Linked DNA regions of Rattus norvegicus. The protein of the gene in region 3 interacts with the protein of the main gene of each other region in a pairwise test. Links are inferred from orthologs where the notes say so. Each region holds a gene or a part of one and is shown on either strand. Other genes may lie near its edges.

Region 1 (4,665 bases), on a different chromosome or scaffold from region 3:
CTGTGCCTGCTGCTGCTCCGCACCCAGCTGGTTGCTGGAGGCCAACTGTAAGGGGTGGCAAACTTGTTAGAGGACATCCAGGTTGTGTCAGGGAGCCCTCTCCACTGTCCCACCCTGCCCTGGGCTCCTTGGCTTACCATTCGGTAAAGGTCAAGGGCTTCTTGGAAGGCAGTCTGCAGCCTGTACAAGACTGATTCCACACTGTCTAGCTCAAGGGGTCCTGGGGGTGGGACTTCAGCTCGGCGCCCAGGCTCCCCACAGTGTCCAGGGCTGTCTGGGCTCCCACTCGATGCATCTAGGCGTAGAGAGGAGTAAATGGCTAGGATACTTTGACTTTCTAGATGGCCCAAGACAAGCCAGGTGGCTGGCCAGGCTAAAAGACTGCTTGTCCTGGACCACTGTCTCCGGCCCCTAGGCTCCTCTTTCCCATAGGGTTCTGCTGGCCGTTACCTATCCCCTAAAACCTTTTGCTGCCACCCTGAAACTTAAGCTGCACTGCCGGCCCTTCTCTTATTGTTCTCACTAGCTTCTATCACCATGATATGCTTGACACTTAAGGTTTTTGTCTGGGCTTCTCCCCTAGGGTAGGAATCAACCTTTGCTGTTTGCTACTGTGTCTCATGTATGCAGGAGCAGGAGCTGGAACAAAGGCCAGCATGTGCTCACCGACTATGTAAATGAGGGAATGGATGGGTGAACGAGTGAACCTGGCCCTCCCCAGTGGCCAGGCTGATGTCCCACTTGGGGAGGTGAGTCAAGCAGCACAGGGGACAGGCTAAGGCTCTAGCCGCCTCCCAAGGGCAGTACTCACCAGGAGTGGGCTCCAGGAGAGCAGGGGTGCTGCCAGGCATCCTAGACCTGGTCTCTAGAAGTTGGAGGCTGTTGGGGTGGGCAGGAGGGGTGAGGGGCCCAGAGGCTGAGGTCTTTGGAAGAAACACAGAACTGTGGAGTCCCAGGGTGCTCATGTCTTCAGGGCTGGGTGCTGAGAAGCTGGCTACTGTGACTGCCATACTAGGTGGGACATCCACAGCTTCCTGAGACCACACAGGTGTGGTGGGTGGCTCCAGTTGCGGTGGAGAGAGGAGCTGCTCACAGACACTGGATAAGGTCAGTCTCAGGCTGGCTCGGGCCTCATGGTTGCCCCAAGCAGGCAGTGCAGGCTCATGGCCTTTGACACTAGAAGTGAGTGCTACTGTAGTGGGAACAGCCTGGGGTTCCTGGCCGGGGGATACGGGCTTGTGGAGTGGCCTGGGTAGCTCGCCTGTCACAGGGCCCTCACTGTCCCCGAGAGAGGTGCTGCGAGTCATCTTGGCATGTGAGCTTGTTGTGGACTCCAGGTAAGAACACGGAGATGGGGCGGGAATACTCTGCTCCCGGCCTGTGGTCAGTCCAGACGTGGGTGTTGGAGGCTTCCTGTCTGTGGGTATCACTGAGGAAGGAGGGACACAGGATGCCAGGCCTGTGATGGGAGGGGCTGTAAAAGAAGTAGATGGTTCACTTGCACCCCTGCCTCCTAAAAAAGTTTCAAATCTGAACAGACACTCCCATGGCTCTGCTGGGTACCCAGGGCTGTTCCTCTAGGATTAGGGAGACTTACTTGGTAGACACGAGGCCTCTGGAGTCTCTTCAGCCATCTGCCCAGAGAGGACCTGCAAGCACAGCTCTTGGTAAGAGAAGGCCTCCTGGCTTGCAGCCCTGTGTCCTGAGAGAGTGACCCCAATACTCACATTGGTCCCATCTGAGGACATGTAGCCAGTACCTGCTCTCAGGGGCCCTGCTTTGGGCTGGTTGCCCCCTTGGCCCACAGGCTGAACCTCTGGAGACTTCATAAGGTGCAGGGGCAGCCGGGGAGGGAACCTGGGGAGGAAGCCAGGTGGGAAAGGCACGCTCACATAACCTTATCCTAGGGTAACTGAGGGGGTGTTTCTACCTGGGACTGGGGTAGAAAGAGGGGAGCATAGGTAGTTTCTAGCTTCTACCTGGAGGTCTTCTGGAGGCGGGAGAGGAACTGTGTGGAGATGCTCAGCCGGGGATTGAAGAAATAGTCATCAGTCTCTGAGATCTTTATGTCTCCCAGTGATCCAGGAAAGAGCTCTAGGAAGACACCCATAGGCCCTCAGGCTGCTGACATCTCAGATGCCTTAGGTATGAATGGAGGGGCCAAACTGTCTGCTCTCTTACCCATCTTTCACCACCTGACCATGGAAGACTGCTCAAGAACACCCACACTGTGCCTGGCACTAGACAGACACATACACACACCAGGACACCAGGGTGCAAGACAGACAGACAGACAGACAGACAGACAGACAGACAGACACACACACACACACACACACACACACACACACACACACACACACACACACACACACACACCAGGGTGCAAGTCAGGTCCTACCTTCAGCAGGGGCATCAGTAAGAGTCTCAAAATGGTGGCGGAGGAACTTCTCCTGCTCAGGCGTCTGGGGTAAGGAGCCATTGCCCAAGCCCGGCACCCCAGGCTGGGCAAGCTCGTCTGTACTTGAGTGCTCTGGATGGGAGGCAGGGTGGAGAGTTGTCAGCACTGAGTCACAGCAGGCGACGCTTGACAATGGAGAAATCCAGACTTGCCTGCCACATTCCTGGTTGCTACCAGGCTGAGAAGGAAATGGCAGTCTTCCATTGAGGAAACTGAGGCTCAGGGCTGATAGGAACCTTTACCTGGCTTACCTGTCATGGTGAGGTGAGGGCCAGGGTCCGTTCGAGGAGCTGAGACATGGGCGGCAGCAAAGCTGCACTCCAGTTCAGCCTCTGATTCCCCTGAGTCTGAAGGGAGAGGGGGTGTCAGGAGCCTGCCCGGGGGAGACGGCCCACTCCAGAGGCTTCGGAATTTGTTTCCCATCTGGAGGATGGGGTGATCTATATGTATCCCCTACATTCTATGGTCCAGCAAAGTCCCCCAATCAAGCAGGGGCAGAGCTGGGTGCTCAGCGAGTGGCTTAGCATACTCAGGTAATGGCAGGAACGCCTTTGTTTTCTGTGGCATTATCAACATCAGAAAACTGGATCACGGCCTCTACCAGTGCCCAGAGGCCATTGCAGACCATGAGGGTGCCTGGTTGCTCCCCACTCACCCTCAGGAGGGCTCTGATCCTTTGAACTGACGGAGGAGACCCTGAGATAGGAATCGCCTTGCTGGTCCTCAGGTCCTGCCTCTGCCTCCTCATAATACTCCCTGCAACACCGTCAGGGTGGGGTTATACAGGCAATGAAGAGCTGGCCTTGCCCGCAACCATGAGGCCCACACCCTGCTCCCAGAGCACACCCCAGCCTCTCCTGCCTCCAAACAAAACCCCTCATCCAACCCAGGACTGAACCAAGGAAAATGAGGCTGCAGCTGAGTCTGTCTGAGAGAGCCTCTCAACTCTCCCATGTCCACTCACACAAGCCACTGGGAGAACAGTTTTTCCAGGTAGGGCCTCTCACCAGGGCCCCCTCTCTGCAACTACGGCTCCCTGTGGTGCATAGGACATTCACCTGTGCATCCCTGTAACTGTCACTTCCACCTCTGGGGAGCAGAGGATGAGTTCTCTTGTCTCAGTGCCTTCCCTCTGTAGAGGCAGGTAGGAGGGGTGTCCTCGGCTGTCTTCTTTGGGGCTCCCTGACTAGGAGTGAAGAGCAGAGCCATTCTGAGGTAGCCAGATTCATCCCAGGTCCTTGAATGCTGCCAGCGGTTATGCACAAGTGGCAGAGGAGTGACCCCACGGACACCACTGCCAGACACCACATCAGAGACAGTGTGAAGTCAGCCCTTGGCCAGACCTCCTCCCCGATGTTGGCAAAAGCAGCCCCTTTATAGATAAGGTATAGTCTGGCCTAAGGCCAGAGGAGGCCTAACCTCTGTCTGTTTACAGGACAACCAAGAATAAGCAAAGCACTAACCGGACAGGCTCAGCGGCACACACACAAGGCCCCAGCATCCAGAGTCAGAGACAGACGGTCTCTGAGCTCACGGCCAGCCTAGTCTATGTAATGAGTTCCTGTCTAGCCAGAGTTACACGATCAGACTGTCTCAAAACACAACAAATCAGGCAAACCAGTTCATGAGAAGTGAGAACATGGGCTCCCTCAGTGGGGTGCGTGGGTACTGACTCTGGGTCAGGAGGTAGAACATGCTCTGTGGGGATGTAGGTGGCAAGTACCTCTGAGTGACAAAGGTAGCTCACCAGGCCTTCTCCCGGGGCCGTGTGTCCATTCTCTGGTGAGCACTGTACCACAGCAAAGAGGAAATGTATGCATGAGCATGGGAAAGGACTGCCCCCGAGGAAGGAAGAGTAAGGTCCGAGCCCTGCATCTGTGAGTCCTCTGAGGCAATAGAACCATTATTTGGAAAACTAAGACAAGAGAGGCAAGCCTCTTACCTCAGGTCAGAGGCAGGGAGGGGCTAATCTAGGGTTCACCCACTTGAGCGCTCCCCATTTAGAAGAGAAGTCTATCCTGGGGCCCAAGCTTGAAGAGCTTGGTCAAGCCTCTGAGTGACCCACTCCCAAAGATTGCTTGTTTGCCCTCCACCATTCTGTGACTCACTCTCCTCACCCAAGTGAGCAGCCACAGTACAGGGGACGGCTGGTGGGCTTGGGGGACTGGCTGTACCTCACTTAGCAGGCCTGCCAGGTTTTGTGG
Region 2 (4,665 bases), about 11 Mb from region 3:
TGTAGTGGTTACTACATGACAGTGTTCAAAGGGTGAGGGCACCACACCAGCTGCCACGAGCCCACTGATGTGTGCCATGTCTGCCATGAGATATGCCCCATTATCATCCGCAATCTTTCGCAGCCGCGCATAGTCCAGGTTCCGGGAGTAGCAGCTGGTCCCTGGGACAAGAGATGACATGGGAGTGTCAAAGATGTCCAAGGCAGCTGAGTTGGTTTCTGAGTGTACATATCTGCAAGGAGAGCTTACCCTAATCTTTGAGGACAGATGTGTAGTGTGCCCTCAAACCCATCCCTGAGCTGAGTGTGGTGGTGCACGTCTTTAATCCCTGCACTTGGAAGGCAGAGGCCAGTCTTAAAACATTCAATCAATCAAATAAAACAAAACCATCTTTGTGTTTAGAAACATGTTAAGAAAAGCCTAAGGTATGACCCACTGACCTACTGTCGATGACTGTTGGTAAATTTCTTTCCTGGGAGGGATGTGAACAGTGTCAGCCTTCTCCCAAATGATCCACTAACAAACTAAAGTCCAAGTTGACCCGGGGAAACCAATGAGCTTACTGGGATTACTTACGGGTTGAGAGGCTTGTGACTAAAGTGTAGGTGAAGCAAATGCGGCTGCACTGGAAGGTCCTCACAGTGTGATGGCCTCTCCACAGCTCTATGTAGAAGGCTCCCTCTCCCTGGTCTTCCCCAGCCTACATACTCAGGCCTCTCATGGAGGCACTCAGAGCAGAGGACTGGGAGAAGTGGCCTGACACTCAGGTGAAGAAGGTTCAATGACCCTTCAAGCTCCCTCCTTTTAGGAGGACAAATGTCAACTAACCATGAGCCCAATCCACAAACAAGACACACCCAGGCAAGCAGGCATAGCTGACCTCATGAAGACGGCAGGTCTGCCTTGAAGATTAGCTCCTTACAACTCAAGTCTTAAAAAGGACAGAATATGTCTCAAGCTAATGTCCTGAGCTCTCCACAGTGAGCTGAAGGATCAGATGTCTTTATATCCTTTTCTGTAGGAGGCAGAGGCCCTCCCTGCCCAGGAACCAGGCTGTTTCCCACTTGCCGCTCACCTGCAATGATCAGCTTCGGGTGGAAGAGGCTGGCATTCTCCTCTAGCTGGTCATAGTTGATGTACCCAGTGTCTGGGTATACCTGTCGGGACCAAGACAAAGGTATGGCTGCTTCCCCTGTCCAGCCACCTGAGACCTTTAATCTGCCACAACTTGGACTGGGGCCTGAGACAGGGCACTGCATTCAGCCTGTCCAAGGATATAAAGGGCCAAATATGCAGACTTGGGAGCTCTCAGAGGGGCCTCAGGATAAAGGGAAGCCTTAGCCCTGGGTACTGCCCCATATTATAGAACAAAGAGCCTAGGAAAATGAGAAAGACACAGCCAAGCCTGCTTGCACAAGCCTGTAATCTAAGCTACTCAGCAGCCTGGGCTACAGCATGAGACACTAATCAAAACAACAGACAGGCTGGAGAAGTGGCTCCAGAGGAAGAGCACTTGCTGTTCTCGAGAGGACACAGGTTTGCCTCACAGCACCCACACAGATGAACACAACTGTCTGCAGTTCCAGTCAACCGGATGCCCTCTTCTGAGATCTTCAAGCACCAGAGACACACGTGACAGACGTACGTATGTACACACACACACACACACACACACACACACACACACGTGTAAACATGCACTCAGGAACAATCTCATACATGTAAATTAAAAATCTACCTTAAAACAAACACCCACCAACAAAGACAAACCACCCAGCAGCGTGCGGAGGCCAGCAAGGCCAGCGCTTCTTCTGGCAGGGCAGAGGCCACCAAGTAGAAGAGGACCAAAGAGAGGGAGGGAGTCTCCATTTTCAGAAGGGAATGGAAGCACATATGAGATGTGAGCTAGAAACACAGTGGCAGAAGGTTAATGTTGCTCACAGAGCTCTCTCCAGAGGTTCACTCTTTAGAAAAGGAAACACCTGGCCCAGTGGAGCTGGGGAGGGGCTGAAGTGAAAGACAGAAGAGCTGCGGAGAGAGGCCACAAAGGAAGGGCCTGTGCTCACAGGACCCAAGCCAGCTCATGTCCCCCTGTGACAGGCCACCACAGGGTCTATCTGTCATGGCCAAAGTGCTGCAGCAAGGACAGCGCTTGAGAAAAACTGGGCACCGAAGCTCAGGAATGGGCTTCATGGAGTAAAGACAGCATGAAGCTGGCCAACATCTCATCAAAGGCTACAGAGGAAATGTGATATAAAACCTCAGGCTGGGGGTTGGGGATTTAGCTCAGTGGGGTTCAGTCCCCAGCTCCGAAAAAAAAGAAAAAAGAAAAAAAAAAAGAAAAAAAACCTCAGGCTGTCCACACAAAACAGATTCACTTGCATGCACATAGAGCTATTACAGCTGAGACTTGGCTGACTTAACAGTCAATAGGATACATCACATTTATGTATTTGTTCATGTTTGGGCGCCTGAGTACCTGGTGCACATGCAGAGGTCAGACAGCAACTTACAGGCATTGGCTTTACCAAGTGAATTCAGGTCACCAGGCTTGGTGGCAAGTACCTTGTCCTGCTTAGTCATCTTGCCCGCCCTCAAATTTTTTTTTTTTTTTTCTGGAGCTGGGGACCGAACCCAGGGCCTTGCGCTTGCAAGCACTGTACCACTGAGCTAAATCCCCAACCCCCTCAAATTTCTTAAAAGAAAATTGCACCTAATATTTAGCTGAGTAGAACAACTCACTGCCACCTATTTCATGGTGGCAGACAGAAAACCACCAGGGACAGCCGGTTACACAGTAAGTAAAACCGAGAGGGACAGCAGGAGGAGCACACCGCCAACCCACAGGAAATATGCACGTCTCCTACCCAGCTGTCTTTAGGATTTATTCATCGTATGTGCCTGAGTGTTCTCCTGCATGTGTGTGTGTGTACTACATGCATGCCTGGTACTAGTAGAGATCAGGTTTGGGATTCCCTGGGATTGCAATTACAGACAGTCCTAAAAGCCACTAGGCAAGTGCTGAGAACTGAACCCAGGTCCTCAGCAGGAGCTCCTAGACAGCTCCAGGTCCCACTATTGGTCCTATCATAATGGTGATGTGAGTCCTTAGGTCTTTTGTTTTTTTAGTATTTTTTTTTAACTCAAAGTCTCACTGAGTTTCAGGTCTCAAAACTCAGAAACCTCCTGCTTTAGCCTCCAAGTGTTAGGACAGCAAGCATATGTCATCATGTCAGGGGAGGTCTCAAACCTATCCCTCTTCCCTTCCTTTAGACAGGGCTTTCTGTCCCTCCAAGTGGCCTTGAACATTTGAACCCACTGTATCCACCTTCTAAGGTCAGGTAGGTGAATACCTCACGCATGCAGTGCTGAGCTACACCCCCAACCCCTTATATTCATTGTTTGGTTCATCTGTTAATACAGAAGAGCCCCCAGACCCCTACACGCACCTGTGAGTGCGTGTGCGTGCACACCCCTACCTACCTTATAAGGCATGGATTCAAAGAAGATAGAGGTGGCAGAGATTTTCTTCTTGTCTGTCATGAAGCCATGAGTCAGATGGCCACCATCTGGCAGGTCCAAACCCATGATTCGCCCATGGGGCTCTACTAGGGCAGTATACACAGCAAAGTTTGCAGGGGAGCCTAAAACAGAGAAGACATGACTATTTCTACCCATGAGACACAATGTGGCATTTAGGAGCTTGGCTACTAGGCAGGCATCACCATGATTTTCCTGAGCTTTGGAAAGCAACCCTGTCCCAGTCCCACTAATAGTGAGTTCTAGGACAGAGTGCTACCTGGGAGGGAGTGCAGAGCTAATCCAAGCACAATGGAGACAGATTCACACATTCCATTGGCTTGTTTGTTATTTACAAGAAGCCTTCTGTAGGATTTGACCTGGGGACTGGAATACCCTAGAACCAGGCCTAAGGAGCTACCCAGGGTCTGTGTGGATGCAGCAATCACCTGAATAAGGCTGGACATTGACGCCCCAGCACTGAGGATCCAGATGGTAGGCCTGTAATGCACGCTTCTGACACAGCGTCTCCAGCTCATCGATGAACTCAGTCCCACCATAATACCTGTGAAGAGAAGCATGGTCCACATCCACCTGGGCCCAAACTCTGTCCTAGCACAGGCCAAAGATAAGCAAGGGTAGGCAGAGAATATTGAGGGGAGTGGTCCTGCTCTAAGGTTGCTGTGAGGCTCTGGTAAAACATCAGTAGTAAGGCCAGGGCTGGTGGCGCACACCCTTAGTCTCAGCCCCAGAAGGCAGAAGCACAAGTTCCAGGGCAGCTGGAACTCCACACAGATTCTGTCCAAAGAAAAAGAGGAAGGGAGGGAAAGAAACGAGGGAATCTCAGGACAGAATGCACTGTAATCTTAATGTTCCTCCTGTTTCCATTGGAACAGATGCACACATGTGCAGAACACTGTCAGATTCTGTTTGTTCTTTGCCTGATGACAACGGTTATAAATAAATAGATAGCCCGATGGTGGTATTAAATAAATGGATCGCTAGATAGCCTGATTGTTGCTTTTAACAAAACTCAATTGCTTGATTTTTACCAATGAAGACTCAGGAGCCAGACGCTGGGGTGAAAGCCTGCTGGCTCTGAGAGGCAGAGAAAGCACCCAGCTGACCTTCTTCAGTCAAGGTCCC
Region 3 (5,099 bases):
GTGGCAGGAAAGAGCTGAGGTGAGGACCGGTGTGGACAGACGCTCACAAAATGAACCTGTCTCAATGCAGCACACTCAGGAACTATGGAGAATTTTAAGCAGGATCAAACCATACGCCCTCTGGTGGCCAACATGGGGGTGGCCAAAGGAAGACTTTGGCGGTTGGGCATTGTTAACTTGACCTAGTCATATGTGAGAAGAGAGACTCTTAACCCAGACAATGCTTCTGTAAGATTGAACTGTAGAAAAGTTTGTAAGGGCATTTTCTTCACTAATGACTGATGTGGGAGGGCCTAGCACACTGAAGGCAGTTCCATCCCTAACTTAATAAGCTGTGTTCTTCCCTTGCTTCTGCTTTGGTTCCTGCCTGCTGGTTCCTGCCTTGAGTGTCCTACTTCCTTCAATGAGGAGTGGCCTGAGAGTTGTAAGCCAAAATAAACCCTTTCATCCCCGAAGTGCTTTCTGGTCATCTTGCTTTGTCACAATATGAAAACAGAATAAAACAGAGATACTGTCTATCCCTTTCTCTATCCCACTTCTCTGTGCCTCCACCCCCCTGGCTCAGTGCTTGAAACCGGAGTCACAGATCTCTTCAAATTCTGCCGAGATTCATGGGGCCTTCTATTCTCCTGATCTTCCTATATGCAGAGCCCGATTCCCTGGCTATTCCTTGGCATCCTACTACAGCTGTACCACTTGTCAACTACTGTCAGCATTTTTCCAATCCCTTATAGGCCAGTCCTCAGCCTAACCTGTTTAGAGCTTTTCCTCAGTGCGTTCAACCTCTCTTGTCTCACTTGCAGTCTTTCGATCAAAGCTCAGAGTAGTCAGAACCCTAAATTCTGTGCTTTCCAAACGTCTTATTCACCTCAGACCTTCTGGAACCTATTTGAGAGACAGAGGGCTGTAGGAGCGTCAACAAAAGCAGCAGTGTCAAAGACCGCTGTATAGAAGCCCTTCAGCATTGGAATGACGCCCTCCTCATCCCTCTACACCAAAGCAGAAACTTGTTCCTTACAACAGTCCTCTTTAGGTCACACCCCGCCAATCCCCTCACTGACTCACCAGCGTCATGGTCACCGTTTCTCCAGCCCCCACCCTCTGGACATCTGGCTGCATCCTTGTTATGAGCCCACTCAGTGTGGCTTACGCAGCGCATCCGCCTTAGTGAACAACAAACCCCAAGGCTCTGTGGCTTGTCCTCCCTCCTCCTCCCGGGCCGTTATACTCCAGGTTCCCAATCTTGCCCAGGTCTCCTGTCTAACCCGGTTGTTTCCAGTCCTTTTACCCCCTTTTTTTCCCAGGGGAGAGCACGAACGATTATGCAGTCGAGTTTCCAGCATTTGGAGAAATCGCAGGGCCGCCTCTCCACTTGCACCTGCTGCAACAGAGCCTGACTAGGCTCCTACACTGTAGCAAAGTCACGCTTCGCCCCTCCCCAGCTCTCGCTCCTCTTGGCCCACCCTCTCCGGCGCATGCGGGTCCCCTGGCCCTGGAAGGCGGGCTCAGGAGCTGGTCCTAGATTGACTTGGATCCCTAGTCCTCTGCGCACATTGGCAGACGCGCTTATAGCAAGCAGACGGCCAGGCGGGGAGCCGCCTAGGGGGCGCCACTTTGCACTAGGGTATCCAGAGCGCGCCACTGGCCTCGCCCACACCAACCCTCAGCCACGCCCTTACTGCCCAGCCTTGGCCCACCCCCAGTCTCGATTGGCCCCGCCTGCCTAGATATCCTTGTTCTGATTGGCTGGCCTGAGAATCCGTCAGACTGAGCGCGGCGGCGGCGGCGGCGGCGGCGGCAGCTGCGGAGCTGAAGGGAACCCGACCGGAAGGGTCGCTGCGCCCCGCGCCCCTCACACCCACTGCGGCGGCGACGGGGCGGAGCAGAGCGGGGCGGGGCGGCCGGGTCCGGGTCCTGGAGCTGGGAGCCGCCAGAACGCATCGCCGCCAGCGTGCCCTCCCTCTGCCTCCGGCGCGGCGGCGCGGAGCCGAGGTGAGCCCGGCGGGCGGCTAGGCCTGGCGGGGCTGCTCGGGCCGCGAAGGCCTGGGGTGCGGGGGGTGGGCTGCTCGGCACTGCCTGGCTTTCCACGGTTCCGCAGTCGTTCTCTCTCGCCTGGTGTCTGCTGCCCAGGGCTGCAGGCCGGCTGTCTGGCCCGGGCCCAGCAGACCTGCCCGCAGGAGTCTGTGGGCGCCTTCTCTCCAGCTGTGAGGCATGCTGCTGTACTCCGCTGCATGCCCTGGAGTCTGGGCTCTGATCCCCGCGACCTTGGCGGTGACTCTGACCCTCACTGGCCCTCTGCTTTCCCCTCCGCAGTAGTGGTAAAATGTCTAGGGTTTGGTTGGGGGTTGTTATCGGGCAGTGTAACTGTCTCAAAGCACTAGGGCAGAGAAGCCTAAGGCGCACAGTTGAGGGCGTCCGAGTGGGTAAATGCTCCCTTACTGGCACGAGTGTCGTAGGAACTCTCATCCGCTTAGAGTCCTCCCCCACTTCTCCCCCCAACCCCCGCCCCAGTGCCTTGTCATTCATCTTCAGTGCCCAGCAAAGAGCCAGAGTGGGCCCTGCCCACCTCCTCTGCCACTCCCTTCCCTCCTAACAAGAAGCAGATCTCTGCTCTCCTAGCCTATTCACCTCACCTGCTTTGGACATGCCAAAAATCATTTATTTACCTCAGGACCTTTGCACTTTGACTTTTCCATGTTCGGAGTTGTCTATAAGATTTTCGCCCTGCTGTCTCTTCTCGTATCACTTCCTCCTGTGGTTCAGTGTCTTGTTATTGGCGAGGCCTGCCTTGACCACCCTTTTCCCTCGCTTAGTCATTCCCGTTCATCAGTTTAGTTTTCCTTCCAGCACTGACTCTGGTTTGATGCTATCTGATTTATAGCCCAGTTTTTGTATAGCACTGTGAATACAGGTAGTTGTCTGGTATATTGACTCTCGTCTCTAGAGTCAGATCAGTGAATGAGCAGTAAGACCATCCCTGCCTATTATCTCTGCTTTGTCCATTTTGTTGGTGACTTTTAACTTGTGAAACTTGTAAGCAAACAGACTCTTATTCTCATTTTGTGAAATGTTTTAATGTTTTTAATCTCTTTCTAGCACCTGTCAGAACAATTTGTGATTAAAAAAAATTACATTTTTGCTAAGAGTTTTGCTCGAGCTTCCTTCCACACGTTCAGGAGTTATCTACTGAATTCTGTATTATCTAGGTCATGCTTTCTGCTGGACTCTAAGGACACAAAGGAGATAGCAACAGGGTACCTTCCCCCAGAGAGTCCAGGAGCCCCGTAGACACAGACTGGCAAGCACACAGTTCTAGGACAGGATGTGACACCAGCTGTAGTGAAGGGTCTGTGCCCTAGAAATGGAGGGTGTGGGGTGGGGGTGCTGGAGGGCCTTGAGCAGGGACGGACACAGAAAGTGAAAGGGCAAGATCAACAGGGAACTTTGCTCAGCCTGTGGCCAAGAATTAGCCCTCCGAGGCAAGCGTGGCATTGTGGAGTGCTGGAGACCCCTGGAGGTCCAGAACTTCGTTCAGCCTTTTTTTAAGAGCCAGGATTCCAAGTTTGTATCCGGACTCTGATATTTTAGCGTTGGCAATAGCTAATTAAAACGAGCCATTTGGTGCCCCGCCAAATGCGGACCTCATGCAGCACCGCTAACCTCCTGAGCAGGCAGTGTGGGAGGGAGAAGCTTCGAGGAGCAGGAACAGTAGCCTGAGGCCAGAGGAGCTAGGCCCTGTTCACCCAGATACCAACCAGGTTCCACAGAGGAAGAAATGGAGGCCCACAGTGCTTCAGTAGTCTGCTTCAGCGCAGGCAGCCAGTGAGAACCTGAAACCAGATTGCCCCTCCATCTAAGGTTCTCAGCTCTCTTTGTGTTTGCCTTCCATTAGCCAATCTATAAACGTTTCTCCTCTCCTTTCAGGAGAGTCCTGCATAGTTAAAAATAATTGTTGTTTTGGGGGCATAATCTCTAGAGACCTTTTGCTTTCCTGAGGTTTCAATTTGCAGGGTCTCAGGACTTTATAATTACTCGTTAACAGATGCTTCGCTCTATCCTTTAAATAAATGGCCAGGAGTGTACTTGAATGTGTCAGTTTCAAAAGAAAAAAGGCTTAACCTTCTGTACTAAGAGAAATGCCAAACGGATTAGTTATTAATGAGTGAACCAATTTTTAAAAGCTTATTATATATAGGATAAAACAAAATCTGATTTTAAAAGAAAAGTATTAATTGGTCAGTAGGGCTGCTATTTTTGACTAAATATGAAGTTATCTTTTACACCTGGCTAGGAAGGCGGCAATTTTATTTTAAAAACAATAATTCTTAATGGTTTGTACTTGGCCACCGTGTGAGTTGGATTTCAACAGCAGCGTTTAGTTGTTTGTGATGGGGACTTTCAGATTTGTTATAAAGTGGATGGCTTTACCAGCGTCTACACGTTTTAACTATGGCAGTCTCTTTTCATCCCTGATCTCAGAGCATGTAAACTCTCCTCACGTTGTGTTGAAGCAGATCCTTGACATCCCGTCATTCTGTCCATGAACTTTTTAGTCTATTTCGCTAAAACAAACAAACAAACAAACAAGGTTCTCTTAAAATTTTAAAAGCAGCCATTCTTTCATAGCATCAAGTAACCAGTCAAAACTTGAATATCTAAGTGTCTTGTGTATCTTACAGTTTTTGTAATCATTTGAAGTTTTTGTTGTGATTATTGGTTGATGTCTTTTCAGTTCTCTCTGTTGGCTTTTATCTTTTGGTGCTTATTGTTTTGGGGTTGTACGTTTGTTTCTTCTTTCAGATATGGCTTCCCACTCACTATGTAGCCTCAAATCCACTGTAATCCTCCTCTCTCAGCCTCTCGTGTGCTAGAATTATAGTCAAAAGGCACCACACTCAGCTACATTTCTTTAGTTCGTTGCTTTTCCCTCTTCTGTTTTCCTTGTGTTCACTTGTGGAAGCAGCTGGTGGTTCTGGAGTACCTCCCTGGTTGGTAAAACCCAACCATGATGCCATCTCAGCATTGTAATATAGTTTCTGTTTCCTGAGAAGTATTGGGTGATTCTAGATGACACCCACTGAAACTGAGGGTGGACTCAA

The links. The genes of interacting proteins can lie anywhere in the genome.
Region 1: the proteins of Mapk9 (region 3) and Wdr62 interact in binary tests that used the Homo sapiens proteins (3 or more experiments, as listed by UniProt). The two-hybrid records come from large-scale screens. The link is inferred for Rattus norvegicus from reciprocal best matches to the Homo sapiens genes MAPK9 and WDR62.
Region 2: the proteins of Mapk9 (region 3) and Shmt1 interact in binary tests that used the Homo sapiens proteins (3 or more experiments, as listed by UniProt). The two-hybrid records come from large-scale screens. The link is inferred for Rattus norvegicus from reciprocal best matches to the Homo sapiens genes MAPK9 and SHMT1.

The regions. Positions count from the first base shown.
Region 1 is NC_086019.1:94,619,295-94,623,959, forward strand, and holds part of Wdr62 (WD repeat-containing protein 62), read right to left. Parts: coding exon 4,636-4,665; intron 4,251-4,635; coding exon 4,185-4,250; intron 3,648-4,184; coding exon 3,520-3,647; intron 3,218-3,519; coding exon 3,117-3,217; intron 2,809-3,116; coding exon 2,704-2,808; intron 2,534-2,703; coding exon 2,402-2,533; intron 2,095-2,401; coding exon 1,980-2,094; intron 1,858-1,979; coding exon 1,728-1,857; intron 1,650-1,727; coding exon 1,598-1,649; intron 1,475-1,597; coding exon 812-1,474; intron 296-811; coding exon 138-295; intron 46-137; coding exon 1-45. UniProt on the Homo sapiens protein: Required for cerebral cortical development. Plays a role in neuronal proliferation and migration.
Region 2 is NC_086028.1:45,976,115-45,980,779, forward strand, and holds part of Shmt1 (serine hydroxymethyltransferase, cytosolic), read right to left. Parts: exon of another isoform or gene 4,572-4,665; intron 4,085-4,571; coding exon 3,969-4,084; intron 3,645-3,968; coding exon 3,484-3,644; intron 1,158-3,483; coding exon 1,076-1,157; intron 162-1,075; coding exon 1-161. UniProt on the Homo sapiens protein: Interconversion of serine and glycine.
Region 3 is NC_086028.1:34,668,992-34,674,090, forward strand, and holds the start of Mapk9 (mitogen-activated protein kinase 9), read left to right. Parts: upstream 1-1,781; 5' UTR 1,782-1,992; intron 1,993-5,099. UniProt on the Homo sapiens protein: Serine/threonine-protein kinase involved in various processes such as cell proliferation, differentiation, migration, transformation and programmed cell death.